Linked DNA regions of Macaca mulatta. The protein of the gene in region 1 interacts with the protein of each later gene in a pairwise test. Links are inferred from orthologs where the notes say so. Each region holds a gene or a part of one and is shown on either strand. Other genes may lie near its edges.

Region 1 (5,374 bases):
CTGTTTCTGAGTTTTGCTTCCAGAGTAAACACCCAACTTACTTTTGCCCTAAAGTATTTTATTGTTCTAGTAGAGAAGACTAACAATATATTCTAAACCGCTAAGTAATTTACATAAACTTCACTTACAAACTGTATTTGTGTGACACTTATATGAGCAAAAGCATTTTCATATTTCTTACTATATTATTCAATTCTTGCTCACCCCAATGGAAGAGACTTTATGCCCCTTTAGAGATAATGGAAATTAGGTACTTTTGATTTCTCTTAGAAAAAAAAATGAACTAGAAAGCTCCAAGTTTGGTGAATCTGGAACGTGGGTATTCCAATTCCAGTTGTAGTGCTTCCTCCCTGTCCATCACTCCTGTCTGCATGTAATTATGCAATACATTGAAAAGATTAAAAGATGGGTCTTAGACTCAGGCAGACCTGGGTCAAATCCAGATTCTGGCACAGCCCAGCCATTGCCCCTGGGAAGGCCATTTTCCTCTTCGAACCTCACTTGTTAATTAAGCTAAAAATAGTCCCCACCCCCATGGGACTGTGGGAAGGATTAAATAGAATAATGCATGAAAAGCACATAGCAGAATGGTCCATAAATGTTAGCCATTGTTATGTTATTATGTAATCTGCAAAGTATGTTTAGTTACACTTCATGAAATAGTTTCAGTTTTTCAAAGACACCACTAATACATGGGAAATCAAACCCTGAAAATTAATTTCACTTTAGCAGTAAAGTCACATGCCAGATGCAAAGGATAGTATTTCATGAACAAAGATCTTACTTTTGAGGTTTGGTCTTACTTTTTTTATTTCATAAGGAAGAAATATATATATATATATTTATATATTTGGTTTTTATTTATTTGTATATTTATTTATAATTTGTATTTATATATTTATATATTTGTTTATATATATATATTTATATTTGTTATTTATTTATTTATTTATTTTTTTGAGATGGAGTCTTGCTCTGTCACCCAGGCTGAAGTGCAGTGGCACGGTCTCGCCTCACTGCAACCTCCACCTCCCAGGTTCAAGTGATTCTCCTGTCCCAGCCTCCCGAGTAGCTAAGACTACAAGTGCCCGCCTGGCTAATTTTTGTATTTTTAGTAGAGACAGAGTTACACCATATTGGCCAAGATCTTTTGCTTTCTATAGCTCCAAATGTTCTTAATGTTAAGACACTCTTAAGACTCTGAACCATATGAATTTGCCATTTTGGTAAGTCACAGACGCCAGATGGTGGCAATTTCATATGGTGCAACCCGAAAGATTAACAAACTATCCAGCAGATGAAAGGAATTTTTTAGTTGCATTGGGATTACTGAAGAAATTGTTTGAATTCTCAGTGCATCTCCAGTTCAACAGATAATGAGGGAGTGATGCCACACTCTCAAGAGTTAAAAACAAAACAACAACAAAAAAATTAAAACAAAAGTACACAACTTTCTCTCTCCGTCCCGAAATACATACATGCATACTCCTGCTCCAGGTGAAATCCAAAGGGTAAAACTGTCTTCATGCCTGCAAATTCCCAAGGAGGGCACCCAAAGTACTTGACAACGAGTGTGCTGAGGAAATCGGCAGCTGTTGAAGTCACCTCCTGTGTGCTCTTGCCAAATGTTTGAAAGTGAATATACTGGGTTACCGGGTGTATGCTGGGAGGGGGGCATTAGCAGTGCTTGGGTGAGGGAAGTTTGTGAGTACCCAGATGGAGACATCCGTGTCTGTGTCGCTCTGGATGCCTCCAAGCCAGCGTGTGTGTTTACTTTCTGTGTGTGTCACCATGCCTTTGTGCTTCTGGGTGCTTCTGTGTTTGTTTGTGGCCGCGTTTCTGTGTTGGACAGGGGTGACTTTGTGCCTGACAGCTTCTGTGTGAGCGCGCGCGCGAGTGTGCATGTCGGTGAGCCGGGAGGGTGTGTCTCAGTGTCTATAGCTGTGGTTCCGTATAAGTCTGAGCATGTCTGCCGGGGTGTATTTGTGCCTGTATGTGCGTGCCTTGGTGGGCACTCTCGTTTCTCTCCGAATGTGGGGCAGTGCCGGTGTGTGCTGCCCTCTGCCCTGAGACCTCAGGCCGCGCAGGCGCCCAGGGCAGGCAGGTAGCGGCCACAGAAGAGCCAAAAGCTGCTGGGTTGGCTGGTAAGCACGCCAGCTCCAGCTTTAGCCCTCTGGGGCCAGCCAGGGTAGCCGGGAAGGAGTGGTGGCCCGCCCGCCGGGGAGCAGCTGGGCCCCTCCCGGGCCAGCCCGAGCAGAGGGAGGGCGAGAGGAGGGGAGGAAAGGGGATGGGTGCCTCGCCCCTTCGGGCCTGCCGGCGTGCCATTGGCCGAAAGTTCCCTTACGTCACGGCGAGGGCAGTTCCCCTAAAGTCCTGTGCACATAACGGGCAGAGCGCACTCCGAGGCGGCTTCTCCAGAGCACAGGCTGGAATTGGCGGGCACCGCGAGCCCCTGGCACCCGACAAGCTAAGTGTACAAGACGTGTCCCCACCACACCCACCCCACGGCCGCTGAATGAGGCTTCCAGGAGTCCGCTCGCGGCCCGCAGAGCCCCGCCGGGGGTCCGCCCGCTGAGGCGCCTGCAGACAGTGCGCTCACCTGCCAGACTGCGCGCCATGGGGCAACCCGGGAACGGCAGCGCCTTCTTGCTGGCACCCAACGGAAGCCATGCGCCGGACCACGATGTCACGCAGGAACGGGACGAGGCGTGGGTGGTGGGCATGGGCATCGTCATGTCTCTCATCGTCCTGGCCATCGTGTTTGGCAATGTGCTGGTCATCACAGCCATTGCCAAGTTCGAGCGTCTGCAGACGGTCACCAACTACTTCATCACTTCACTGGCCTGTGCTGACTTAGTCATGGGCTTGGCAGTGGTGCCCTTTGGGGCCGCCCATATTCTCATGAAAATGTGGACTTTTGGCAACTTCTGGTGCGAGTTTTGGACTTCCATTGATGTGCTGTGCGTCACAGCCAGCATTGAGACCCTGTGCGTGATCGCAGTGGATCGCTACTTTGCCATTACTTCACCCTTCAAGTATCAGAGCCTGCTGACCAAGAATAAGGCCCGGGTGATCATTCTGATGGTGTGGATCGTGTCAGGCCTTACCTCCTTCTTGCCCATTCAGATGCACTGGTACCGGGCCACCCACCAGGAAGCCATCAACTGCTATGCCAAGGAGACCTGCTGTGACTTCTTCACGAACCAAGCCTATGCCATTGCCTCCTCCATCGTGTCCTTCTACGTTCCCCTGGTGATCATGGTCTTCGTCTACTCCAGGGTCTTTCAGGAGGCCAAAAGGCAGCTCCAGAAGATTGACAAATCTGAGGGCCGCTTCCATGCCCAGAACCTTAGCCAGGTGGAGCAGGATGGGCGGACAGGGCATGGACTCCGCAGATCTTCCAAGTTCTGCTTGAAGGAGCACAAAGCCCTCAAGACGTTAGGCATCATCATGGGCACTTTCACCCTCTGCTGGCTGCCCTTCTTCATCGTTAACATTGTGCATGTGATCCAGGATAACCTCATCCCTAAGGAAGTTTACATCCTCCTAAATTGGGTGGGCTATGTCAATTCTGGTTTCAATCCCCTTATCTACTGCCGGAGCCCAGATTTCAGGATTGCCTTCCAGGAGCTTCTGTGTCTGCGCAGGTCTTCTTTGAAGGCCTGTGGGAATGGCTACTCCAGCAACAGCAATGGCAACACAGGGGAGCAGAGTGGATATCACCTGGAACAGGAGAAAGAAAATAAACTGCTGTGTGAAGACCTCCCAGGCACGGAAGACTTTGTGGGCCATCAAGGTACTGTGCCTAGCGATAACATTGATTCACAAGGGAGGAGTTGTAGTACAAATGACTCACTGCTGTAAAGCAGTTTTTCTACTTTTTAAGACCACCCCCCCCCAACAGAACACTAAACAGACTATTTAACTTGAGGGTAATAAACTTAGAATAAAATTGTATAGAGATATGCAGGAGGAGGGGCATCCTTCTGCCTTTTTTATTTTTTTAAGCTGTAAAAAGAGAGAAAACTTATTTGGTGATTATTTGTTATTTGTACAGTTCAGTTCCTCTTTGCATGGAATTTGTAAGTTTATGTCTAAAGGGCTTTAGTCCTAGAGGACCTGAGTCTGCTATGTTTTCATGACTTTTCCATGTATCTACCTCACTATTCAAGTATTAGGGGTAATATATTGCTGCTGGTAATTTGTATCTGAAGGAGATTTTCCTTCCCACACCCTCGGACTTGAGGATTTTGAATATCTCGGACCTTTCAGCTGTGAACATGGACTCTTCCCCGCTCCTCTTATTTGCTCACACGGGGTATTTTAGGCAGGGATTTGAGGAGCAGCTTCAGTTGTTTTCCTGAGCAAAGTCTAAAGTTTACAGTAAATAAATTGTTTGACCATGCCTTCATTGCACCTGTTTCTCCAAAACCCCTTGTCTGGAGTGCCATTGCCTCCCCGACTGGAAACCACAGGTAACTACTTGTAATAACTGCCCATGACTTAATGTAGAATGATACAAGAATGACATGCACAGATTGCTTAACCCTTTCATTTGCCTTTGAATCTGCTGCTGCAAAGCTGCATCTCTCCTGACACTCATGCCCCAAATCAGTTCTGCCTGCTCTTAGTATAGCTCAACTCTCCCTATGGTTATTGTTCTGTGTTGTTACCTCGGAAACACTGACTCACAGAAGCGGAGTTATGGGCATATGTTTTTTTTCTCTCCACGCGCCCCCACCACCCACCTTCCAGTTCTACTTGTTTCATAACTGTTTATATTTATGTCTTGGCCATGTGTTATAGTGGAGCTCTTTGTACTGCATCAGGGCTTGGCATTTTAGGGATAAGGAAGATGTTCTTGTGAGGAAGCTACTCGAACATGGCCCCGTAATTCCGAGGGAAAATTAAAAAGGCATTGGTCATGGGGAGAAAAACTGGAGAACACATAACTGATGGATACCACGTGACCTAGAAATAGAATTTTAACCCCTTTTCCTTCTTTCCTTTGGTCCCTGTTTTCTTCTCCCACTGACTCTCCTCGGTTCAGTATAAACCAAGGTTCTGAGTCTTGGCACTGTTAGCATTTTGGACCAGATAACTCTTTGTTGTGAGGGCTGCATCATTGGATGTTTAGCACCTCTGGCCTCTATTCATTAGATGCCAGGAGCATCCCCTGCTTATAACAGGCAAAAATGTTTCCAGATATTGCAAAAGAGCCCCTGAGGTGTGAATTAGCCCCTGATTGAGAGTCACTGGTAGAAACTAAAAATCTCAGCAGATATATACATTCTTTCTGCAAGCACTTGATTGTGCCGAGCCTTGGAGAGGGATTTTCACAGTTCACCTAGGCAGTAACACACCCTCATCAGCA
Region 2 (6,281 bases), on another chromosome or scaffold:
GCCAGGCAGGACACCACTTCCAGGCCCCAGGCAGATGCGGTGACAGCCACCCTGGCTCCAGGGACTGGGGTTAGGGATGCTGACCTGACCGTGCTGGGTGTGACCCGGGTGCCCCTGAGGTTAAGAGAGCACAGGGCTGGGTGTGAGCCCCCAGGGGTGCTTAAGAAGGCAGCCAGGGCCTGTTCCAGGTCCTTCTCACTGAAACCCTGGCCACTCAAGTCCAGTTCTCGCAGTGTATGGCACCACTTCTGAGTCAACAGGGGGCTGCCCTCCTTGGCTAGAGTCAGCCGGTCTGACGTGCCATACAGGCCCAGATGAAGCTGCTCCAGCTCTGAGGTGAGAGGAGTGAGCATAAGCTGCAGGGCGACAAGGACTCCCACAACTCACCCGCCCGGCCACCACCCAGGACCGCTGACCCTGGCACAGCACAAGGGTCCCCACACCTCACCCATTCAGCCACCACCCACACCTCACCTGCCTGCCCACCACCCAGGACCACTGACTCCAGCATGGCACAAGGGCCCCCACATCTCATGCGCCTGGCCACAACCCAGAACCACTGACCCCGACACGGCAGATCCTGAAGGCCAGCCGGCGTGATGCGCGCACAGCCACGAAGATCTAGTAAGCGCAAGTTGGGAGAGCCGTGGAGTAGGCGGCCCAGGACCTCGTTGCTTACAAAGTTGCAGGCTGAGCTCGCCAGGCAGAGTTCCTCCAGGCTAGGGAAGCCTGGTCCGGGAGCCACCCCTCGTCCCAGAGGCTTGGGCAGCCACATCAGGTTCAGCAGCCGCAGCACCTGGGGGCAAGGCCCAGGCTGTAGATAGGGGAGCGTATAAAAGGTGGGAGAGGCAGGGCGCCAGGTACCTGGAGCTGGGGGCAGCCTTTCTGCAGAGCCTCAACAGGCAGCTGAAGGGGAATGCTGTTACGGTTGATGCCGCTGCTCACCTCCAGAACCTGGAGCTGGGGGCAGCAGCTGCCCTGCAGAGGTGCGGGGGAAGGGGGTCACAGGGTCAGTGGCCTGGCAGTCCCCGGCTCAGCATCTGCCTCTGCTCCCACCAATGCCAACCTACCAGCAGTGCACCCACGATGGCTGTCGTCTGGGAGCTGTAAGTCAGCCACAACTTGCGCATTCGGGACCCTGCCTCCTCCAAGAAGCTTACCACAGCTGTGGACTCCACCTAGGGTCCCAATACAAGAGCACCCGTCACCCCAGCCTGGGCTTTTTCAGGGCCCCTTGGGACACAGGGCTCACCATGGAGTGCTGTAGGTCCAGGCTATGGAGCTGGCAGCAGGCTTTGGCTAGCATGACCAGAGCATCAGCAGTCACACCGTGGCAGCCGGAGAGCTTTAGGAAAGTGAGCCGAGGACAGGACTCGCCTACCAGCTGCGGGGAGACAGAGGGGCAGCTGGGGTTGGGAGAGGGCAGGCTAAGATCCACAAGGGAAACAAACAGGTGGCTGGTGCCAACCCCACGCTACCGCCTTAGCTGCGACCTCCTTTCTGCCCATGTCAGGCCTACTTGGGTGTCCCCGCCTCTGACACCTCCCTGCTGGAGGAAACAGCAGGAAAGGAGAACCAGGCAGGCAGGCAGACCTCCCGATGGAGCAGCGTTGGGCCCTCAAGGTGCCTGACCCACTTCCTAGAGTACTCAACAGTCCCAGAGGGTCACAGCTGGTGTGCAGGGCAGCCTGGAGCTCTCACCTTCAGCACGGGGTGTACCTGAGACTTCCAGTGGATGAGGGTCAGCCTCTGGAGCTGTGAAAACCTGGGCCGACAGCAGAGGCAGAGCTGCACTAATGTTCCCACACGAGTCCTTCCCACCCAACACCTTGGTGCAGGGAGACAGAAGGAGCCTGGAGCCAGGGGACAAGGAAAAGAGGGAACCCCTCACCGATTAGGCATAAGCCACTCCAGGGAAGCAAGAAGCTTCTTCTCCGCCTTGACCCCGCCCTTGGCAGGCCGGCCGGCCAGCGGGGACGACAGGGTCACGGTGTGCCAGAGCGCGGGTTGGGAAGCGGCCTCCTGCCAGCGGCGGCACACGCGCGCAGCCCTGGGAGGACAGCGTGCTGAGGCTGCCGGCCCCTTCGTAGGTGATACCCCCTCTCGCAGCGCAGTGGACATCCCGGCTCAAAGCCGGGCTCCTGGGACTCCAACCGGGCGCCTAAGGGGCTGCGCTCTCGGGCGGAGGGGTGCGCGCTCCGATGCTTTCGCCCTCCGCCCCCGCCCGGGCCACTGCTCGGACCACGTCTGGCCCAAGTCGCTGCGCTCGGCGACGGGCCCGGCAGCAGCGTTACCTGCCGAGGAAGGGCATGGGCCCGTCCGCCGCCACCAACAACCCGAAAATCTGCACCAGGATTTCCAAGGGAATGCGGTCTCCCCAGCCCGCGTCGGGCCCTTCCTCGGGCGAGGGCGCCGGGTCGGGCCTGAGCGTGGCCTTGGGCTTGGCCGCGGCGCGGCCCGGGGGCGGCTGCCGGGGAGTGCGGCGGGCAGCGCGGGGAGTGCGGCGGGCAGCGCGTCGCTGTGCGCGGGTCCGGGCGGGTCCGGGTTCGGACAGCACCAGCAGCATGCTGTCGGACGGAAGCAGGTGGTACCCCGAGCCGCTCGGCGCCAGCCGGTCCCACCACCAGTCCTCGGCCGAGCGGGCCCGCGGCGCTGCCCGAGCTCTGCGCCGGACCTTCCGGGAGGCCGGGGAAGCCATGACCACCGACGGCGCTTGGGGCAGCTCCAGGGAGCGGAACGGGCGGGGCTTACAGACTGACACCCCCCGACTCTTCTCTGCGCCCGCCCGCTGACCCGCTTCCGGGGCGGGACTTCCGGCCGTGGGCCATGCCGGGGGCGGGCCCGGAGTCGCGGCGGGTGAGTCTGGTGGTGGCTGCTGTCGGGTCCTGGGCTGTCTGGACTGAGGCGGCGTCCCTGGGCCGGACGGCGGCGTCCTGGCGTGGCGGGAAGCCGGCACTAGAGCGGGAGCGCACTGGGCGCGGGACCGGGAGGCGTAGGGTCGCCCATCTGAAGCTGGTGAGAGGGCGGCGCCCCTACGAGCAGAGCCGCCCCAGCCACTCCCCTGGGATCTGACTTGGCTCCTGCGGTCCCGGGCACCGCGAAGCCCTGGGGCGTGCTTGGCTCCTGCTGGTAGGCGCCCTGTCCCAGTGTCCGGCTTGGGGTGGTGGTTGCAGTGACTCCAACCCCGCCTCTCCCTGGAGAGGAGGGCTCCACTCGCTCCTTCGGCCTCCTCCCCTGGGGCTGCAGCGACTCGGGCCGGCTTCCTGCTTCCCTACCTGCCGGCGGTCCCGACGCTGGCGGGCGGTGCTGCTGGGTACGTTTTAGCCAATCCTCCCCATCCCCACTCCTGCCCGGGGCTCCCCCTGTTCCCTTGGTCTCACCCTGTTCCCTTGGTCTCACCCTGTTGATTCCGGTTCTGTATCCTGCCTATTTGTCTGTTTCTTTCAAGCTAGAAGAGGTCTTCAGTTCCCAGAAGAGCCAAAGCGTCTCTGGACCTAGGTGGGAAAAGAACTGGCTGTGACCTTTGCCTTGACCTGGAAGGGCGCAGCCTTGGACTGAATGGCAGCACCCACACCCGGCCGTCCGGTGCTGACCCACCTGCTGGTGGCTCTCTTCGGCATGGGCTCCTGGGCTGCGGTCAATGGGATCTGGGTGGAACTACCTGTGGTGGTCAAAGAGCTTCCGGAGGGTGAGTGGGAGGAGGTGCAGGTGTGCCCAGGAAGGTGGGCCCTGTCAGTTCTTCTTCCCTTGGGTATCATGCCCCTGACATGGTCTCCTCCCTTCCCTGCAGGTTGGAGTCTCCCCTCCTACGTCTCTGTGCTTGTGGCGCTGGGGAACCTGGGTCTGCTGGTGGTGACCCTTTGGAGGCGGCTGGCCCCAGGAAAGGGCGAGCGGGTCCCCATCCGGGTGGTGCAGGTGCTGAGCATGGTGGGCACAGCTCTCCTGGCCTTTCTGTGGCACCGCGTGGTCCTAGTGGCAGGACAGTCGCATTCCGTGGCCTTCTTAGCACTGGCCTTTGTGCTGGCGCTGGCATGCTGTGCCTCTAATGTCACTTTCCTGCCCTTCCTGAGCCACCTGCCACCTCGCTTCTTACGGTCATTCTTCCTGGGTCAAGGCCTGAGTGCCCTGCTGCCCTGCGTGCTGGCCCTAGTGCAGGGTGTGGGCCGCCGTGAGTGCCCACCAGCCCCCATCAACGGCACCCCCGGCCCCCCACTCGACTTCCGTGAGCGTTTTCCCGCCAGCACCTTCTTCTGGGCACTGACTGCCCTTCTGGTCGCTTCAGCTGCTGCCTTTCAGGGTCTCCTGCTGCTGTTGCCACCACCATCTGTACCCACAGGGGGCTTAGGATCAGGCCTCCAGGTGGGAGCCCCAGGAGCAGAGGAAGAGGTGGAAGAGGCCTCACCATTGCAAGAGCCACCAAGCCAGGCAGCAGGCACCACCCCTGGTCCAGACCCTAAGGCCTATCAGCTTCTCTCAGCCCACAGTGCCTGCCTGCTGGGGCTGTTGGCTGCCACCAACGCACTGACCAACGGCGTGCTACCTGCTGTGCAAAGCTTTTCCTGCTTACCCTACGGGCGTCTGGCCTACCACCTGGCTGTGGTGCTGGGCAGTGCTGCCAATCCCCTGGCCTGCTTCCTGGCCATGGGTGTGCTGTGCAGGTACACAAGGGCCCTTCAGCCCCTGTGCGGGTGGAACTCAGGGCTGGGAGCCAGGTCCTGGCACAGTCAGCCCTGACACTCTGCTCACTCTCTACAGATCCTTGGCAGGGCTGGGCGGCCTCTCTCTGCTGGGCGTGCTCTTTGGGGGCTACCTGATGGCGCTGGCAGTCCTGAGCCCCTGCCCGCCCCTGGTGGGCACCTCGGCAGGGGTGGTCCTCGTGGTGAGCACACGGGACGTGAAGTGGGGTGGGGGCGTTTTCGTGGAGCAGGCACATCTCACGCTCAGCTGCTGCTGTGTCCCCTCAGGTCCTGTCGTGGGTGCTGTGTCTTGGTGTTTTCTCCTACGTGAAGGTGGCAGCTAGCTCCCTGCTGCATGGCGGGGGCCGGCCGGCATTGCTGGCAGCCGGTGTGGCCATCCAGGTGGGCTCTCTGCTCGGCGCTGTTGCTATGTTCCCCCCCACCAGCATCTATCACGTGTTCCACAGCAGAAAGGACTGTGCAGACCCCTGTGACTCCTGAGCCTGGGCAGGTGGGGACCCCGCTCCCCGACGCCTGTCTTTCCCTCAACGCTGCCACCATGCCTGAGTGCCTGCAGCCCAGGAGGCCCGCACACCGGTACACTCGTGGACACCACACACTCCATAGGAGACCCTGGCTCTCTGGGGCGGGGGGAAAGGGCAGGGAGCAGGCTTGGAGCCAGGGACCGGTGGGGGCTGTAGGGTAAGCCCCTGAGCCTAGGACCTACGTGTGGTTTGCATAATAAAACATTTTTATTTAATGAGTTGGCATTAATTCTTTGAGCATCTCTTTCTGTGTGGATGCTTCTGTGAACTAGAGCCATGGCCGGGCCTGTTTAACAGGGGCCACCTCTCTCCAGGCCCTGGGCAGGTCCTTACCCACCGCAGGCTGGTCTCACAGATCGTACAGTCATGGCCCTCTGAGCCCAGACTCCCCTACATTCCTTCTTGGAACTGCCCTGGGCTCTCTGGGCACACAGGAGCTACCAGCTTCGGTGGTCAGAGGAGTAGAGGAGCCTCTTCCCAGCAAGGCCACTGCTCCACGAGCACCTCTCAAGGGCATTAGGGTCAGTTGGATGGGGCTGCAATGTGCCGAGCCCCGTGCCCACCCTTAGCCCTGGAGTGACGGCCTGCCTGCTGGCTTCCCAGGAGTATCCTGCTACGGATTTATACCGGGGGTTGGTGTGCAGGCACCGGGGTACTCAGTGAGGGGGACTCAGAAGAGACAGAGTTTAAGGTTTTAGCCCGTCAGGACCCTTTGGCCTGAGTATTGCCCCCTCCCCTGAGCCTCTAGCCTCTCAGTGCCAGCTCCTTCTGCAATCAGACCCTCAAAGGCCCCAAACCCTTTCTTTAGGCAGATTTAGCTACAGCTGCCTTCTCCCTGGGCTGATGGCACACCGCCCCTGGCCCTGAGCAGCCTGGGCCTGTAAGTGTTGGCATCTGCAGGGAATAGGACCTCAGCACTGACCATGGCCTATCCTGGGCTGGGTGGTTCTCAGGCACCCACAAAAAGGGCTGGAGCCGCGAAAGAACTAATTGAGAGGAGCCCCTGAGCCTGGCAGCAAGGATCTGGAAGAAAGTGCTGGGGGAGGCCGTGCCAAGGTAG
Region 3 (6,206 bases), on another chromosome or scaffold:
CGGCAAGGGGAAATGCCCCTCTCTTGTCCACCCTCCTTCGTCCCCGTCCCTCCCTAGTAATGGCCACTGGTTGCCCTAGGAACCACCCAGGCTCTTCCCAGAGGACCAGAATGGGCAGGTTGCCTCAGTGTCTGGGTAAGACCTAACCATCTTTCCATCTGGTCTACAGCGCTGACTGCTGGAGCATAGAGGAGAGCAATGACCCTGGCCTTTGGCCCTAGATGGTTTCTACCATAGGCCCTACCCAAGTTTGACTCTACTCTACTCACCTCCAACTGTCCCCAACTCCGACCTCAACAGCTTAAAAGCCTGTTTGAACGCCCAGCCTTTAGGAAGCTGACCCAGCCCAGACTCTGGTCACTCCTTGTTTTGGGTTCCTGTCACACCTTGTTGATGTTTTACTTGTGGTGTGGTAGCACACACGGACAGTTAGCTGCCTCCCTCCTCAGACTGTGAGCCTCGGAGGCCTTATTCATTTACGCATCTCCAGCACAGTGCCACCCAGATCATGAAGATGCTAATGCTGCTAACATTCAGAGTGACTTCTCCATGCCCAGCACCGTTCCACGTGTTTCAAATGTGTCATCTCTTGTAATACTCTGTTGTTTGAGACGGAGTCTCGCTCTGTTGCCCAGGCTGGAGTGCAGTGGCGCAATCTCAGCTCACTGCAACCTCCGCCTCCCAGATTTAAGTGATTCTCCTGCTTCAGTCTCCCAAGCAGCTGGGATTACAGGCGTGAGCCACCACGTCCAGGTATGTTTTGTATATATATATTTTTTGAGATGGAGTCTCGCTCTATCACCAAGGCTGGAGTGCAGTGGCACGCTGTCAGCTCACTGCAACCTCCACCTCCTGGGTTCAAGCGATTCTCATGCCTCAGCCTCCTGAGTAGGTGGGATTAGAGGTGCCTGCCATCATGTCTGGATAATTTTTTATTTTTTTGAGATGGAGTCTTGCTCTGTCGCCCAGGCTGGAGTGCAGTGGCGCAATTTTGGCTCACTGCAACCTCTGCCTCCCAGGTTCATGCCATTCTCCTGCCTCAGCCTCCCGAGTAGCTGGGACTACAGGTGCCCACCACCACGCCCGGCTAATTTTTTGTATTTTTAGTAGAGACGGGGTTTCACCGTGTTAGCCAGGACGGTCTTGATCTCCTGACCTCGTGATCCGCCAGTCTCGGCCTCCCAAAGTGCTGGGATTACAGGTGTGAGCCACTGCGCCTGGCTGCTAATTTTTATATTTTTAGTATAGATGGGGTTTCCCTATGTTGGCCAGGCTGATCTCGAACTCCTGACCTCAAGTGATCCGCCCGCCTCAGCCTCCCAAAGGGCTGGGATTACGGGCTTGAGCCACTGCGTCTGGCCTGTATTTTGTAGTTTTTTAGTAGAGACAAGGTTTCCCCAAGTTGGCCAGGCTGATCTCCAACTCCTGACCTCAGGTGATGCACCCGCCTCAGCCTCCCAAAGTGCTGGGATTACAGGCGTGAGCCACCACGCCCGGCCTTAGGTTGCAGTGAGCCAAGATTGCGTCACTGCACTCCAGCCTGGGTGACAGAGCAAGACTCCATTTCAAATAAATAAATAAATAAATAAATAAATAATAAAATAAAATAAAACTACCCAGTGATGGAGGTCCTAATGTCTCTATTTTCCAGGTGAGGAAACTGAGGCAGAGAGAGGTTAAGTGTTTTAAGGTCACAGAGAGAGTAAATGGTGGGAATTAATAGAAACCAAGGCGGTCTGGCTCCGAGTCCATCCTCTCAATCAATATTACACTATCCGTCTCTGTAGCTGGCATCAATAGTTTGTTCAATTGAAGGGTATTCGCTTTCCAGTTGCTGAAACAATTTAAGCCTGGACTCCACCCACTGCTGGGAGGGTAAGGAAGTGTTTGGCAATCCCAGTGATATGGCCAATTGTGAGCCTATTCTTTGAAGCATCACCTTACTCCTTCCAATCCACTCTGCCTCAGCAGTGATCCCTGGAAAGGATCCTCAGATAGACAGCAGAACGTGAAATCCTGCCAACTAGCCCATCCCTCCTCCAACTCTACCACCCCATTCCCAGAGGACCCCAATGGGCAGGTTGCCGCAGTATCTGGGTAAGACTTAACCATCTTTCCATCTGGTCTACAGCTCTGACAGCTGGAGCATATAGGAGAGCAATGACTCTGGCCTTTGGCCCTAAATGGTTTCTACCATAGGCCCAGTTTCTGCTACAACTTCACTTGTCCCTTCTTCCCAGAAAGCCAAGCTGTCCAAAGATTATAAGGTAAAGGGTATGGAGGCCCCCAGGTATTCCTAACCAATAAAAGGGAATAAACATCGATACGGTGGCAGCTAGAATAAACATCCTATCTTTTGTCCCAACTTGGGGGCTGAGTGCTGTGGCATCATCCAGGCTCTCCCTCCCCTTTGCTTCTGGTTTTCCTCTTTGTCCCAGGGTGTCCTCCCATTAGGAGCCCTGGCACAGGGCTGTGACAGCCACAGTCAGTGGGCCAACTGCAGTGTGGCTCTGGGGCAACTGCCCTGGAGCAGCTGCAAGGCACCTGCCCTTTGGATCCTAACCCAGCCACCTCCTGCCAGGCTGAGGAGGAGCAGCGTGCAGATACTAGGCTGGCCAAGGAGGCAGAGTGTGGGGATGACCAGGGAGGTGCCCAATGGGGGCAGGGGTAGCTGAAGCAGATGTCCTTTCACACTTCCTGCTATTCTCTCCATTTCCTGTGGCCCAGAATTTGATGGAGGTGAGGGAAATTGGGTCAAGTCAGCAGTCCCCTTTGGTCCATCTGTCCCACTCCTTGAACCACATAACGGAAATCAGGGGCCTCCCACAAGGCAGCAACTTCCCCTTTCTCTGGGATGTTTAAACCCTAATCCAGGATACCGATCATCTCTCTGATGATCTCTTTCTGATACTCATCTACTTGACGCTCAGAAACCTGGGTTCTCCTACTCTATAGGTTGGAAGTGGGGTCGATATGATGCTTTGCAGAGCAAGCCAGAGCTCAGGACCAATTCCCTATTCCCGATCCCCTCTGGGTTGAGGCCTACAGCCCCAACCTTTCTGTCTTTTGCTCCTGCTCCCCTGGGACTCAGGCATTCACCCCTTACCCCTTGGGGGTGTTGAGTCACAACAGGAAGTGGATTTTGCTAGAGACCAAAAAAGAGAACTCGGGGTATCAGTGGAAGGAAAGAGCCTCGATTGCACAGAAAACATCCGGGGAGTGGACGCGCGCCCAGCGTGAATACTGCCTCCCCCACCCCCAGGGAGAGGGATCCGATCTAGTTTCAGGAAGGGTCAGGCTCTCCCAAGATGAAGCTGTTGCTCCTGGCAACCCAGGGGAAGGTAGAAGTTTGGATGAGGAGCCACCCGGCCCTCGGGACAGGTGTGGGCAGCGCGACTACCTGGGGGATATTGGACAGGAGGCTTTGCATTGGCTTGGCACGAGTCTGGAGGGGATCCCCCTCCCAGCATCCAGCCTCCCCGTACACGACCCCTCGGGGCCAGCCACCTGCTCCTCCCTCCGTCCCTGCATCGCAGCCTGCCCAGACTCCTGGGCACGGGAGAGCCCAGTAGTCTGGCCCCACATCCCTGAGAGAACCCCGACACCGGTTTTTCTGATCCCCCTCCGGCCTCGCTTTCTGCAGGGGCCCGGGCATTTCCCCCCAACCTCATTATCCTCGAGGACCTGCGCGTGCGGCCCCGGATGGCTGTCCCTAGGGACCCAGGCGTCCGGCCCCCAGATCCTCTCCGCGGCGTCCTCGTCTGGGACCGTCCCAGCCCCCGCCCCGAGCCGCCGCCCATGCCCCGCCGCGTGGCCCCACCTCCCTTACCTGGTCCCGGGTTTCTCCCCCATGGTGCGCGCGCCCGCCGCCCGCTCGGTTCGCGGCTCGCTCGCAGCCTCCTCGCCCGCTGCCAAGATCCCTGCTCCTCCCCGCGCCAATGCGCACGCGCGCCCTCCGCGCTCTCGCCTCTTCCCCCTCCCTCCCGGCCCGGCTCTGGTCTGGGGGAACCGGGGCCAGATGCGTCAGCCGGATCGCGCGCGCCGCGGCGCTGCCCGCCCTCTCCTAGCAGACACACGGGGCCATTGGCTCCGCCCCCAACCCTTCGCGTTCCGTCCCAGCCGGGGAGCCCTCCCCCGCGCGCGGGGCCCGCTCCCGCTCTTCCCGCCCATCTCCCCGCCCCGCCGCAACCCCTTGAAACCGATTGGGCCCCCCTAAACCAAGGCTCCCGCCTTCCAGGGGATCTAAGTCTTTCGATTGGCCCTCGGCATCCAGAACCTTTAGGGGTCTCCTCCCCTTTGTTTGCTTTCTCAGTGGCGGTGGGGGCGACCGGGCTGTTGGGGGCGGTGGAATGAGCTGAAGCGCCGTCTGGGAAGGAGGATGGTGGGGGGGAACACGTGGGTGAGCAGTTCAATTGCGTGATACTTGCTTCAGTGCGCGCGGCTCACCTGCTCCACGCGGAGCGTACCGCCTTCTGTGGCCAGCCCTCCCGCTTCTTCACCGCAGCGTGTCAGCTCCTCCTGGTGTCTACATTTGATCTTCGCAGGGTTCCCTTTTCCAATGTCTCTGACTCTCCATCTCCTTCACCCACCCATCCCAGCTAACATCCACTCACTCACTCGCTCGCACCCATCGGTCCATCTATCGACCCACCCATCCGTGCCTATTTTATGCTATTTACTATGCCAATCGATGGGGACACATATGAATTACCATGGCCCCTGACTTCCTAGAATAGTTGAGGAGACACATACACAGGTATTACCCAGGTATGCTATTACAGAGGTCTGAGTCAGAAGACACAGCCACTAACAGCGCTCGGCCCGGGCGGGGGTGGAGCGGAGAACAAATGAGGACAGTCTTTCTGAAGGATGTGCAGAAGTTTTTTTTCGTTTTCTTTTTTTTGAGATAGAGTCTCGCTCTGTTGCCCCGGCTGGAGTGCAGTGGCGCGATCTCGGCTCACTGCAACCTCCGCCTCCCAGGTTCAAGCACTTCTCTGCTCAGCCTCCCGAGTAGCTGGGATTACAGGCGCCTGCCACAATGCCTAGCTACTTTTCATATTTTTAATAGAGACAAGGTTTCATCACGTTGGCCTTGCTGGTCTCAAATGCCTGACCTCGTGTTCCACCCGCCTCAGCCTCCCAAAGTGTTGGGATTACAGGCGTGAGCCACCGTGCCGGGCCGGGCAGAAGTTAAGACAGGGCATTCCAAAGAGAAAGACAAGGCACATCCTGTTGTGTGGTGTTGGTGGGGAAGCCTGGAACAGGTTGTGGAGGATTTTGTATAGCAGATGAAGGAGCGAGACTGAGGGCCCCGCAGAAGGACACGAGGAACCAGTAGTGGTTTTTAAAGCAGAGGGGGCCGCGTGCAGTGGCTCACACCTGTAGTCCCAGTACTTTGGGAGGCCGAGGTGGGCTGATCACCTGAGGTCAGGAGTTCGAGACCACTCTGGCCAACATGTTGAAATTTAGGCTATAATCCCAGCTACTCATGAGGCTGAGGCAGGAGAATCACTTGAACCTGGGAGGCAGAGGTTGCAGTGAGCTGAGATCGTGCCATTGCACTCCAGCCTGAGTGACAATAGCGAAACTTCATCTCAAAAACAAACAAAACAAACAAAAAACCTCCAAAAACCCAAAAATGAGCCAAGTATAGTGACTAGTGCCTAGAGTCCCAGGTACTAGGGAGGCTGAGGTGGGAGGATCGCTTGAGCTGGGAGGTCAAGGCTGCAGTGAGCTGTGATCGTGCCACTGCACTCCCGCCTGGGGAAATATCTTTTCAGCACCTTTTATGTACCAGGCACTCTTCTAGGTGATGGGAAGAGCATAGTGTAGGAGACAACAGCCCTTTCATGGAGTTTGTATTTTAGACAAAAGAGATAGTTAATACATAAGAAAGCAAATAAAGTTCTGGTAATGACATGAATTATAAGCAGGGAAATGTGATGGAGGCTGATGGGGGTTGGAGTGGGAGCTACCTGAAAAGAAGCCCTCTCAGGATGGCAAGATAGTGTCAGTTACATAGGATCAAAGGACAGTTTCTCCAGCAGAATCAGCAACATGTGCAAAGGTTCTGATGTGGGAATGGGTTTTGCTGGAGAATAGAAAGTAGCCTAGTTTGGCTCAAGAATAGAAAGAGAGAAGGAAAGTTGTACTTGTGGTATGTGTTGAGGTCAGGGAGGTGGGTATGAGTCAGATTGGGTGGATTC
Region 4 (6,155 bases), on another chromosome or scaffold:
TTTGTGAAGAGAAAGAAATCACAGTAAAGGTAAATTTAGAATATGCTTCAAACTACTTAAGCACTGTATCCTCCTGCGTCTGGAGTTGATTTCTTCCAGTGGGTTCCTGGTCTCGCTGACTTCAAAAATGAAGCCCTGGACCTTCGCGGTGAATGTTAGAGCTCTTAAAGATGGCACAAACCCAGGTCAGGCATGGTGGCTCATGCCTGTAATCCCAACACTTTGGGAGGCCCAGGCAGGTGGATCACGAGGTCAGGAGATAGAGACCATCCTGGTTAACACGGTGAAACCCCTTCTCTACTAAAAATATAAAAAAATTAGCCAGGTGTGGTGGCGGGCCCCTGTAGTCCCAGCTACTTGGGAGGCTTTGGCAGGAGAATGGCGTGAACCTGGGAGGTGGAGCTTGCAGTGAGCTGAGATTGCGCCACTGCACTCTAGCCTGGGCAACAGAGCGAGACTCCATCTCAAAAAAAAAAAAAAAAAAAAAAAGATGGCACAAACCCAAAGAGTGAGCAGCAGCAAAATTTATTGTGAAGAGCAAAAGAACAAAGCTTCTACAACTTAGAAAGGGACCCAAGCAGGCGGCCCCTGCAGGCTGGGGTGTACAGTTTTTATTCCCTTATTTGTCCCCGCCCATGTCCTGCTGATTGGTCCACTTTACAGAGTGCTGATTGGTCCATTTTACAAACCTATAGCTAGCTACAGACCACTGATTGGTGCATTTTACAAAACTCTAGCTAGCTACAGAATGCTGATTGGTGCATTTCACAATCCTCTTGTAAGACAGAAAAGTTCTCTAAGTCCCCACCGGACCCAGAAGTATGGCTGGCTTCACCTCTCACTCCAAGGAACCACATGGCTGAAGACACATTCCTCCTGGGTGGCACGATCTTCTGTGAATGCCAGGCTAGCGATTCCAGCAGGCTAACGATTCCAGCGATTCCTCTGATACCTGGATCCCACATGAAAACTTGGACTTGGTGCCTACATCTAGACTGCTGTTTCGTCTCATTTATTTTCTAGACAAACTGTGCTGCTCCACAGCGTTAGCATCAATATGTCTTTTGTTTCGTGGAGCTTCCTAGGGATTTAAATTCAAACCGTATCATAAAATACAATAAAGGTTTATTTACAGCACATTGGTTTCATTTGACGTTCCTGTACCAGACTACCGTGGCAATCGGCTAAAGTTTTGTCAACAAGTTTGCTGCTGGGATTTTTCTCATTTGGTTCAGTTTACTACCGCCTATCATAAGTGATGCAGATGGGTTTCGTTTCTAACATGTGAACGTGACAACTGTTTTGGTTTGGATCCATCATTAATCAAAACTGAAGAAGGTTATTGGGTTCGATGGTGTAGATTTGGACTTTTATTTCTAGCTTCTGTGTGCTTTGTCATATTTCCCCTTGCTTCCTAGACGAGATGTGTTTCCTTATCTGATTTTGCATCACTGGAGACAACTCAGGAACCAGGAGAGGCTGGATTGGATACCACAAGGAATGCAGCCCTGCCAACAGAGGGACGGATAGAATTAGAGCAAACGGACACATCCCCCCAGCCTGTTCTCCACAGGGCAGATTTTATTAGTATATTTCTAACATATGGGCCTCGTTTCAGTCTTCAAAAGTTTTTTTTCTAGCGCAAACTAGACGCGCTCTGAGCCAAAATTAGCGTCCGCGAACCCCACCCCATTCGCCTCCAACGGACCTAGCTCGCCTTTCCGCCCACAAACAGCCGTTACTACAGTTCCCAGCAAGCACCGCGCAGGGCCGCAAAGGGCCAGGCCCTCGGCGAATGCCCCGCCCCGCAGAAGGCATGCCGGGAGTTGTAGTGAGTGGGCGCTTCCCCACTGCTTCTTGTCCCTTCCACTGGGCATTCCCACTTGGAAGACTGTTAAGCGCTGCCAGAGCAGTTTCTCTAGTTCCGTATTCGCAGCTCAAGGTGACAGAGGACTGCGCCGCCAGCCCTGCGCTGCGCATCGCGTCGGCCCCGCGGACCTTTGCCCCGCCTCCCTCCACACCCGTTCCCTTGACAGCTGGGCTGCGCACGGGGCCGCGGCAAGCCGCGAGCGCGCAGGCGCAGCAGCCCCGCGCCGCGCTAGGCCGGCCTGGAGGGCGGGACGAGCGCTAGTGGCTCCTGGCCGCCGGGGCGCGCACGTAGGCACGCAGAGGCCGTCACGTGGGGCGCCGAGGATCGCAGTGCGCGTGGCCGTGGCGGCTGGTGTGGGGTTGAGTCAGTTGTGAGACCCGGAGCTGGTGACCCAGCGGGTGGCCCACCGAACCGGCGACACAGCGACAGGCGTCAGGGCTCGGGAGCTGCGAGCCTGGCCTCGTCTTAGAGCTCGGCCGAGCCGCCGTCGACCCCCGCCCCCAGTCAGCAAACCGCCGCCGCGGGCGCGCCCCCGCTCTGCGCTGTCTCTCCGATGGCGTCCGCCTCAGGGGCCATGGCGAAGCACGAGCAGATCCTGGTCCTCGACCCGCCCACAGACCTCAAATTCAAAGGTAGGCAGGACGGGGACACCCCAGGGCTGGCTGGGGCGCGCGGAGGGCTGGCGGGCGGCGGGGGGCGCGGAGGACAACTCGGCCGCCCCGGCCAGAGGGAGCGCCCCCTCCCCCACGCCCCGGCGCCTGCCCTCTCCCGGCTGCTGCCTCGCCGCCGCCTCGGCCGGCCTGCCCCTTGCTCCGGCCCGCTTCGTCCCCTCCCGCCCGCCCGCGCTGCGGTGCGCGCGCCGGCCGGGGCGAGGCGGACGGGAGCCGGGCCCTGGCGCGGCCGCCGCCGCCGCCATCTTGCGGTCCCGCGGGGGCGCCTCCTGGGTGTCCGGTCCCGCCCGAGCCGCCGTCCGCCCGGGCCCGCGTCCCTGGTCCCCGAGGCCGACGGCGTGCTCCGGCGGGGCGTGGGCGGGTGGGCATCGGCGGGCGTGCGCTCTGGGCTGCGGCGGGGAGTGGGCTCTGGAGGTGGCGCAAGCTGCGTCCGTCGCCCGCTCCCGGCTGTCAGCGGCGCGGGGAGGCCAGGGCGCGGCGCGGGACCCCTCGGGAGTGAGACCGCCCCTCGGCCCCTGCCCCGGCCCGGGCAGAGCTGGGAGCAGCCGGCCCTCGGGCTCCGCGGAGCGCGTCGTTTCTCACCTTTCCGCCCGGCTTAGAACTCGGCCGTCAGGTGTAGGGCGCGCCGGGGAGGCGGAGAAGCCCTGGAGGTGCCTGGCGAGGGCTGCCCGGTGCTGTTGGCACGGACCCAGGCGCGTGCGGGCAGCAGCGATGCGTCAGCTGCGAGCGGAGAGTTGTAGGTTCATAGTAAGCGGGGCTTCCTGCCTTCCACGACATTTCAGTGTGCCACCCGCGTGCTTTTATTTAGCCCTTCGGTTGCGCTCCTCTGCTGAGAAACCTTCAGTGCGTGTGACTTTTGCTTTTACGTTTGCGGTTGCCGACAGATCCTGAGAGGCCTGATAAGGTGTGACCCAGCTCTGGAGCTTTGTAGGTTTTTATTTTGTAGCGCTGCCTGTGGTAAGTTTTTAGTCTGACTTGGTGATCCTGGAAGAATCCCAGGGGCTGTTTGGTGCCTTTCCTTAGTCGATATGTGTTGTACTTTAGGAAAGAGAGTAAAACTGTACAGATTTTTTTTTTTCTTCTGTATTCTTAAGGAATACTGAAAGAGTGTGAACATCTGATAGAAAGTAGGTTTCTTCCTATCTTAAGTGTAAAGTGAGGCCCGTTTTGGAAGTCTATGTCTTGTATTTCAGTTGTTGAATGAGAACAATTTTTGTGAGGTGCATAGCAATTCTAGTGCTAAAAGAAAAAGTTAAATCCTTTATTGTTGTGTGAGGTTGAGTCCAAGAGAAGACCAACTACATTATTTCCATAGGAAAAACTTCAGTTTTAGGAATTTAAAATATATTCTGGAATTATGAGATTAATATTGCGTAACTACATTGCAAGCTTTTTAGTGCATTTACAAATTTCTTTGAATAGAAGTAAGTGTAAGCGAGCTACTTGTTGGGTAAGGATTTGGTTTTAAGACAAGGTGCAGTGAATGTATTTTATTGCAAGTTTATGTAAGTTGTGTGATTTTTTTACGTAGTTTTAGCTGGGGGAAAACCTTTGAGGAATTATGAAAAGTCCTAACTCAGCCATTATCTCGAGATAATTTAATGTAAGCCTGTATGATGTGTTTTTTAATATTTCGTTTTTATCTTTTGATTGGCCGTGTTTACAGTGAACATTTCCTCTACTGGATAACTGTGTAAGTTGCCATGAGGGACTTATAAGTATGTGTAAGTTGCCATTAGGACAGTTTTAGGCCAGGAAATGTCCACAGTTTGAAGTTTTTTCTCCTTAGGGAAGTTGTTATGTTGCTATAGTAAGAGACTAATAATAGTGGAGAAGCAGGTTTAAAAAAACAAGCAAAAACCCTACACAGTGACTTACTCTCATATTTCCTTTTTTGGGGGTATTGGAGAATTACAGCTATGATTATAGAACACGTTGTTCTTGTGTTGCCAGTAAAAATGATAAGACTAGCCAGGGAAACAGAAAAGGTATATAGATGGTATAACAGAGACTCAACCCTGTCTGAGGAAAGAAGCCTTCTCTACGTGCCCCATCCCTCCCTTAGGAAATTTTTAAGGAAAAGGCTCGTTTTTCATTTCAGGGGAGGTTTAGGCCAAGAGAGTGGTTGAGTAAACACACTGCTGTGAGAGAATGCCTGGTACTTAAATGCCCAATAGTTTGTTGTGTGTTTCAGTTTAAAGACGGAGATAATGGGGGGGATTGGGAGGTGACATTTGGTGTCTGGTTCCTTAATATTATTTTTTTAGTCAAAGGTAAATTGTTTGCTTGATGGAAACCTTTGTGTATTTAAGTGCACAGCTCAACACTGAGGAGACTCATTTAGAATCTACAGTCTACTTGTGCTTAGTTTGTGATAGAAAAAAATCGTTTAACTGACTTATCCTAAATCATTCAAAACTTTCTTTTTAAGTGAAGGACTTTAAAAAGACAGTTTTGCAGAATTCCTTGTCATCTTCTGGTAGGTTTATTTTAGTTATTTTGATTCTGAGTTTGAGATGGTTTCTCCAGGAGTGACTCAGGTAATCATTCTGAGAGTGGATGGTTTTTCTTTTATACACCCAACACAACCATCTTGAAGATGAATTAACAGCATTTTGCAGAATTTTGCAAAAGCAGATACCAACTAGTTCAGTACTACATTTTTCTGTATACCTAGTATTAAAAAAAAAGTTTTATATAATCATTAACATACAAAAGTGCATTTATGATGATGTAATAAATTCTGAAGTAGATCTCTTGTGTTGATAAAGAAAAAGAAGTAGACACCGCTTTACTTCAAATTCTGTTTAAACCTTGGAAGTAATTTTACCTGGATTTCAGATTTGAAAGTTGGTATTTTATGTGAAAGATTTTTTTTGTCTTTAAAATTTTTTACATGATAAAATTCCGTTTGTAAGTATTACACATTTTATTTTTCTAACTATAGCAGTTTTTTTGTTTTTTATTTTTTGAGATGGAGTCTTGCTCTGTTGCAGTGGCTTGATCTGGGCTCACTACAGCCTCTGCCTCCTGGTTCAAGCATTTCTCCTGCCTCAGCCTCCAGAGTAGCCGGAACTACAGGCATGCACTACCATGCCCAGCTAATTTTGAATTTTTTTAGAGACGGAGTTTTGCCAGGCTGGCCTCGAACTCCTGACCTCAGGTGATCCACCTGCCTCGGCCTCCCAAAAGTGCTGGGATTACAGGCGTGAACCATCACACCTGACCCCTATTAGCAGTTTTGTAGGGAAGTTTGAAGAAGAAAGTTTATAAAATGCTAAAATAAATTTCAAATATATTTTTCTTAATGATCAGAGAGGAAAATAAACCAAAATCCTTGTGTTGAGAGTGGCCCATAACGATAAATCAACAAAGAAAATTAAGCGCTCTGAAGGATCAAGGAACGTGTGGTGTCGACATCAGCTAGTGCATCTTTGCGTAGAAGCATATTATTAAGAAGCAGCACGGGGGAAAATTAGAGAATACTCGTCCTCTGGATGGGTATTTAGCACATTTTTAGGTGTTTCCAGTCAGCTCTTCTTGTTTCCTAGTGGCCATACGAAGTGCTTGGGGTAATATCCCCAACTCCTCTAAAGACAAGAATGTAATCTTTA
Region 5 (6,222 bases), on another chromosome or scaffold:
TAAAAAAATATATAAAAATTAACTGGCATTGCCAGGCGCGGTGGTGGCTCATGCCTGTAATTCCAGCACTTTGGGAGGCCGAGGCGGGTGGATCACCTGAGGTCAGGAGTTCGAGACCAGCCTGACAAACATGGAGAAACCCTGTCTCTACTAAAAATACAAAATTAGCCGGGCGTGGTGGTGCATGCCTGTAATCCCAGCTACTCAGGAGGCTGAGGCAGGAGAATCGCTTGAACCTGGGAGGTGGAGGTTGCGGTGAGCTGAGATCGTGCCATTGCAGCCTGGGCAACAAGAGTGAAACTCCGTCTCAAAAATAAATAAATAAATAAATAAACAAATAAATAAATAAATAAATAAAATAAAAAGTAAACCCAATGCTTACGGATATCAACAAAATATCAGAACGCAATTCAATTAGCTCTCAACTATCAGTAGGATGGCACCTCAGAGACATAAGCAGTTTCAGGTGTACATACAATGATGAGTCAAGGGTCCCAGTCCCAGGCAGTGAGGGCTTCAGCTGAATCTTCGTTGCTCCTCCATTTCTGATAGTATCTTCCAACCAAGGACCACCAGGAAGCACCTGTAGTTGAACAAGCGCAGCTGAACAACATGGATATCTCAGCAAGAGCATGTGTGAAAGGACTTATTACAGGATTGGAGCTTTCGTTAGGGGACTTCTTAGGCAGGTTCAAAAAGGGGGGCATTTGCTCTGAGTTGGATGCTATCAGGAGGTAGGGATAATTATTTTTGGTTATCTTAATAATTCTTATCTAGCAGATGGGAGGAATGAATCAAGCTAAAACTGTACTTAGTAAAGCAGCAGCAGTGGCCGGGTGCAGTGGCTCATGCCTGTAGGCCCAGCACTTTGGGAGGCCGAGGCGGGCAGATCACTGGAGGTCAGGAGTTCGAGACCCGCCTAGGCAACGTGGTGAAACCCCATCTCTACTAAAAATACAGAAATGATCTGGGCATGATGGTGGTTGCCTGCAATCCCAGCTACTCTGGAAGCTGAGGCAGGAGAATCACTTGAACCTGGAGGTGGAGGTTGCAGTGAGCCAAAATCGCATCACTGCACTCCAGCCAGGGTAACAGAGCAAGACTTCATTTCAAAAACAAAACAAAACAGACAAAAACAACAACCAAAAAAGAAGCAGCAGTGACTTACCCTGTGGGAGTAAGGATTGTGTTGGTAATTTTCGTGGTTTGGACAATGTTCTTGTTTCTGTGTTGAGGCTTAATTATGGAATGGTCTTTTACTCTATCATCAGTCAAAGAGGGACCTTGTCTGATGTTTTTTGTGAAATTATGCTCAACAGGACACCACCATGGCCTCACTGTTGGTGCCAGGCCAGCTCCTAGCAACATCAAGGCTTCTGGAGTGAGGGTGCAAACCAGCTCCCAGCTGGCAGCAGTTGCTTTTCTCTTTTACACCGCCACACTCGAAATCAGAATTGGCAACCCCTTTGGTAGAACATGAGCTCCCGGTCACTATAAGCCCACTTATACCCAGTAACGGGCCTACGTCACTCATTTACACTCTGACCTCTCTCCTGCGAGGTTGGTGATTGCACCAACCACGCCCAGAGAAAAGTCACTCGTCCAGCATCTCCCAGGGACCTGCTGGCAGGGCTGAAGATAGAACTCTGACTCTGTGTTTTCCCTCCAGCAACTTCCCTTGCTAGACATTGAAGTGGATTGTTAAATCCCTGATATATCGGCTTCTCAACTGGATGCAGATCGGGTCAGATAAAAACACTTCTCAGTGCACCTTCTTGTCAACAGTGGGTTCCTATCTTTTCTTCTTTCTTTTGGGATTGGGTGCTAGGTCCCATGACATTAGCTAGGATTCTAAGACCTTTGCTCAGCTGCTGCTGCCACCACTGACACGCACTCTGCTCCTCAAATACGGAGAGCGTGTTCCTGCCTTGAGGATCTTTGCATTTGCCTTCCCTCTGCTTGGAACTCTTCCCTCACATCCGCTTCCTAGCTTCAGCTCGGCATCACCTCCTCAGAGAGGCCTTCTATCCTTGGTGCCCGGGCACCACTGCTACCCCTTTTGGCTTCTTTTTTTTTTTTTTTTTAAAGGATGCTATGTTGCCCAAGCTGGAGTGCAGTGGTCCGATCATGTATCAACTTCAGCTTCCAACTCCTGGCTTCAAGCGTTCCTCCTGCCTCGGCCTCCCGAGTAGCTAGGCTTACAGACTGGGGTTACAGGTGTGAGCCACCGCGCCCGGCCGCCTTGGCCTCCTTTAAGAGCTTCCCTCCGCGCTTTGTTCCAGTTCTCGTCACGGTCTGTTCAGTGCGCGGGGTTGGGAGGCGGGAAACTGCCCAATGCCCAGACCTCACGGTCTGTTTCTCCTCAAGCTCGGGAAGCTCTCTGACAGCAGAGACCCAATCACGAGGCGGAGACTTAGCCTTCCACATCGGGCAGCGGGTCGGCCGCATCCTCGATCTGGTCTTGGGGACTCGAGACCAGAGGGAAGAGCACGTCGACCCGCCCGGGGGACCTTAGGGCCACACGCCACCTATCCACCGGCTTCCCCAGCAAGCCCACTGCGCATGCTCCATACTCCAGCCCCGCCCCCATTCAGGGGCGGGGCCGCGCCTGCGCAGCTACCCGGCACTGGCTTCCGGGTGGTGCGAGCGAGATGGGGCGGAGGGCCGGTCTGGCTGAGTAGAGGCGGTGAGTGGGCGTGTGTGCGGAGCGGTCTGGCCCGAGGGCTAGGGGCTGGCCGAGGGTCTTCGGGAGCAGGTCGCAGGGCGCGGAGAGAGCCTGGGATCGCCGTCTGCCGCTGCTACCCGGTATGTCGGCGGAGGCCTCGGGCCCGGCGGTCCCCGCGGCCCCGTCCCTGGAAGCCCCCAAGCCCTCCGGTCTCGAGCCTGGCCCCGCCGCCTACGGTCTCAAGCCGCTAACCCCTAACAGCAAATACGTGAAGCTGAACGTGGGCGGCTCGCTGCACTACACCACGCTGCGCACCCTCACTGGACAGGACACCATGCTGAAGGCCATGTTCAGCGGCCGCGTGGAGGTGCTGACCGATGCCGGAGGTACTAGCGGCGCCCCCACCGTGCCCCCATCCCCAGATCCCCAACTCCCGTTCCCCTCAGTCTCTCACCAACGGGGCTCCTCATGCCCCTTCTCTCTGCCCGCTGCTGTCCCGTCAACTCATTCTCAGCTCCCTCCAGCCCCGACATCCCATCTTCTCGCCTTTTCTCATTCATAATTTCTCTTCTCCTCCCCCAATCCTTTACCCCCAGCAATAACCAACACTTACGGAACCCCTAACTCTGCCAGGCGCTGTGGTAAGTGATTGAACGTGTCAGTTCATAATCCTCATGACTACCTCTCCCACCCTTCACGCCTCAGCTCAAGACTTGGGAACCAGCCCTGCTGCCTGCAGTACTACTCCTGGCAGCCTTCATCAGTTTCCTCCGACCGCCCAGCCTTTTGTTTCCCTCTCTGCTTCAGAACTGCTAACAACCAGCCAGGAGGGCTGGGAGATCTTGTCTGCCTCTGTGTTGCCCTGACACAGGTCCCTGTACACTCTAGGAATCCATCTGTATATACACATTGCAGAAGGAGGCTGCTTTGGGTTTGCCAGGGACACCAGAGTGGAGGGTGGACAGGTGTCCTTGGCAGGTGAACCTTACCTTCTTGGAGTGTTGTATTCAAGTTTGGACCCTTCGTGCCCAAGTGAGACCTTGAAGTTTTGGAGTTTGGGAGTGGGAGAGTCTTAAGGGAGGGGTTAACAAGGACTGTGAGAGCAGTAGAATAAAAATTTGGGAGGCGGAGATCTGCCTTCAGGTATCAAAGGTGAAGAATTCGGCCAGGCACGGTGGCTCACGCCTATAATCCCCGCACTTTGGGAGGCCAAGGCGGGTGGATCACCAGAGGTCAGGAGTTTGACACCAGCCTGACCAATATGGCGAAACTCCGTCTCTACTAAAAATACAAAAATTAGCCGGGCGTGGTGGTGTGCGCCTGTAGCCCAGCTACTTGCGAGGCTGAGACAGGAGAATCGCTTGAACCTGGGAGGCAGAGGTTGCAGTGAGCCGAGTCGGCGCCGCTGCACTCCAGCCTGGGTGACAGAGCGAGACTCTGTCTCAGAAAAAAAAAGGAAGAATTCATTTGTCCAATGAGTATTTGTAAAATATCAGTTAGTGCTGGAGATAGGTAAATGAACCTGACAAAATTATATAACTTCCCTTTTTTTAGGGAGGTGAGAGATCAGAAGACCAATAAGCAAGTAAACAAAATGTATATGCATATGCAATTGCAGATAGTAGTAAGTTCTTTCTTTTTTTTTTTTGATAGTAAGTTCTATGAAGAATATAAAAGTTAAAATGGCAGTGAACTGGACGGTGGAGGTAGACATTTTAATTAAATAGAATGGTGAGAATTAACATCGGGGGTTAGCGGTTTATTGATAAGGTAATTCTGCAAGAACTTTCTCGTGGTGAGAGTCTTTTTTTTTTTTTTTTTTTTTGAGACGGAGTCTCGCTCTGTCGCCCAGGCTGGAGTGCAGTGGCCGGATCTCAGCTCACTGCAAGCTCCGCCTCCCGGGTTCACGCCATTCTCCGGCCTCAGCCTCCCGAGTAGCTGGGACTACAGGCGCCCGCCACCTCGCCCGGCTAGTTTTTTGTATTTCTTAATAGAGACGGGGTTTCACCGTGTTAGCCAGGATGGTTTCGATCTCCTGACCTCGTGATCCGCCCGTCTCGGCCTCCCAAAGTGCTGGGATTACAGGCTTGAGCCACCGCGCCCGGCCGTGGTGAGAGTCTTCTGACTGTAGACCAGATTTGGATGAATTAATTCTCTGGCTGGATATGTATAAACTTATGAGAGAACTCGCTGGAGATGTTTTAAAGAGATTTCTTGGCTGTGGCACAGGCTTGAGACAGATCAGTATTCAGACTTTTTTGTGGCTTTGGAATCCTTTTTCTTTTCTTTTCTTTTTTTTTTTTTGAGATGGAGTTTCGCTCTTGTTGCCCAGGCTGTCTCGGCTCACCACAACCTCCGCCTCTCAGGTTCAAGCGATTCTCCTGCCTCAGCCTCCTGAGTAGTTGGGATTACAGGCATGCGCCACCACGCCTGGCTAATTTTGTGTTTTTATTAAAGACGGGGTTTCTTCATGTTGGTCAGGCTGGTCTCGAACTCCTGACCTCAGGTGATCCGCCCACCTCGGCCTCCTAAAGTGCTAGGATTACAGGCGTAAGTCACCACGCCTGGCCTTCTTTTCTTTTTCTTTTTCTTTTTTCTTTTTATTGTTTTGAGACGGAGTTTCCGTCTTATTGCCCAGGGAGTGCAATGGCGCGATTTCGGCTCACTGCAAACTCCACCTCCCAGGTTCAAGCTGTTCTCCTGCCTCACCCTCCCAAGTAGCTGGCATGCGCCACCAAGCCCAGCTAATTTTGTATTTTTAGTAGAGATGGGGTTTCTCCGTGTTGGTCAGGCTGGTCTCAAACTCCTGACTTGAGGTGATCTACCCGCCTCAGCCTCCTAAAGTGTTGGAATTACAGGTGTGAGTCACTACGCCTGGCTGGAATCCTTTTTTCTTATAATTTAGGCCAGGTTTGGTGGCTCACACCTATAATCCAAGTGTTTGGGAGGCTGAGATGGGAGGATCACTTGAGCCCAGGAGTTTGAGACCAGCCTGGGCAACATAGTGAGACTCCGTCTCTACAAAAAAATAATTTTTAATTTAGTAGTTCCAGGTCACTCAGCAAAGCCATCTTTCCCCCTGCTTCTCCCCACCCCACTAGGTTGGGTGCTGATTGACCGGAGCGGCCGCCACTTTGGTACAATCCTCAATTACCTGCGGGATGGGTCTGTGCCACTGCCGGAGAGTACCAGAGAACTGGGGGAGCTACTGGGCGAAGCACGCTACTACCTGGTGCAGGGCCTGATTGAGGACTGCCAGCTGGCGCTGCAGGTGAGGGCCTTCCGAGTCCCTGTGCCTATGTTCCTGGGAGAGCTGCCCAAGCAGGTATTAGGGCAGAAAAAAGGAGATACGGGGTATGGCTTGGAGAGCCTGCTTCTGACCATAACCCCAGAGAATTTGAGGTGCCATCTTCTGCATCCCTGCTGCCTCAGGCAGCATCCCCACCCCAACCTCAACCTCATGCCAGGACGTTTGCAACGGTTAAATAGCTACTCTCTGCTTCCCACTCTTCTTATGCAGCCAGTCCAGCTGTTACACTCGCACCTGAGTAATTATC

The links.
Region 2: the proteins of ADRB2 (region 1) and SLC52A2 interact in a protein complementation assay, tested with the Homo sapiens proteins (2 studies listed by BioGRID and IntAct, with this or other methods). The link is inferred for Macaca mulatta from reciprocal best matches to the Homo sapiens genes ADRB2 and SLC52A2.
Region 3: the proteins of ADRB2 (region 1) and ARRB2 interact in binary tests that used the Homo sapiens proteins (3 or more experiments, as listed by UniProt). The link is inferred for Macaca mulatta from reciprocal best matches to the Homo sapiens genes ADRB2 and ARRB2.
Region 4: the proteins of ADRB2 (region 1) and VAPA interact in a protein complementation assay, tested with the Homo sapiens proteins (2 studies listed by BioGRID and IntAct, with this or other methods). The link is inferred for Macaca mulatta from reciprocal best matches to the Homo sapiens genes ADRB2 and VAPA.
Region 5: the proteins of ADRB2 (region 1) and KCTD13 interact in a protein complementation assay, tested with the Homo sapiens proteins (2 studies listed by BioGRID and IntAct, with this or other methods). The link is inferred for Macaca mulatta from reciprocal best matches to the Homo sapiens genes ADRB2 and KCTD13.

What each region holds. Positions count from the first base shown.
Region 1 is NC_133411.1:157,783,295-157,788,668, forward strand, and holds ADRB2 (beta-2 adrenergic receptor), read left to right. Parts: upstream 1-2,576; 5' UTR 2,577-2,616; coding exon 2,617-3,864; 3' UTR 3,865-3,896; downstream 3,897-5,374. UniProt on the Homo sapiens protein: Beta-adrenergic receptors mediate the catecholamine-induced activation of adenylate cyclase through the action of G proteins. The beta-2-adrenergic receptor binds epinephrine with an approximately 30-fold greater affinity than it does norepinephrine.
Region 2 is NC_133413.1:154,752,368-154,758,648, forward strand, and holds SLC52A2 (solute carrier family 52, riboflavin transporter, member 2), read left to right. Parts: upstream 1-2,791; 5' UTR 2,792-2,856; exon of another isoform or gene 2,857-3,313; intron 3,314-3,448; exon of another isoform or gene 3,449-3,452; 5' UTR 3,453-3,558; coding exon 3,559-3,688; intron 3,689-3,790; coding exon 3,791-4,658; intron 4,659-4,755; coding exon 4,756-4,879; intron 4,880-4,964; coding exon 4,965-5,177; 3' UTR 5,178-5,436; downstream 5,437-6,281. Other genes in the region: FBXL6 (F-box/LRR-repeat protein 6), read right to left, coding at 85-331, 565-796, 865-978, 1,071-1,178, 1,253-1,384, 1,702-1,765, 1,892-2,050, 2,295-2,698. UniProt on the Homo sapiens protein: Plasma membrane transporter mediating the uptake by cells of the water soluble vitamin B2/riboflavin that plays a key role in biochemical oxidation-reduction reactions of the carbohydrate, lipid, and amino acid metabolism.
Region 3 is NC_133421.1:6,238,079-6,244,284, reverse strand, and holds the start of ARRB2 (beta-arrestin-2), read right to left. Parts: upstream 3,930-6,206; 5' UTR 3,853-3,929; coding exon of another isoform or gene 3,830-3,852; 5' UTR 3,801-3,829; coding exon 3,667-3,800; exon of another isoform or gene 1,629-3,666; intron 951-1,628; exon of another isoform or gene 749-950; intron 1-748. UniProt on the Homo sapiens protein: Functions in regulating agonist-mediated G-protein coupled receptor (GPCR) signaling by mediating both receptor desensitization and resensitization processes.
Region 4 is NC_133423.1:80,874,125-80,880,279, forward strand, and holds the start of VAPA (vesicle-associated membrane protein-associated protein A), read left to right. Parts: upstream 1-2,198; 5' UTR 2,199-2,423; coding exon of another isoform or gene 2,424-2,502; intron 2,503-2,735; exon of another isoform or gene 2,736-3,498; intron 3,499-6,155. Other genes in the region: uncharacterized protein LOC114673840, read right to left, coding at 1,463-1,508, 1,709-1,980. UniProt on the Homo sapiens protein: Endoplasmic reticulum (ER)-anchored protein that mediates the formation of contact sites between the ER and endosomes via interaction with FFAT motif-containing proteins such as STARD3 or WDR44.
Region 5 is NC_133425.1:28,639,171-28,645,392, forward strand, and holds the start of KCTD13 (BTB/POZ domain-containing adapter for CUL3-mediated RhoA degradation protein 1), read left to right. Parts: upstream 1-2,625; 5' UTR 2,626-2,807; coding exon 2,808-3,051; intron 3,052-5,763; exon of another isoform or gene 5,764-5,766; coding exon 5,767-5,936; exon of another isoform or gene 5,937-6,222. UniProt on the Homo sapiens protein: Substrate-specific adapter of a BCR (BTB-CUL3-RBX1) E3 ubiquitin-protein ligase complex required for synaptic transmission.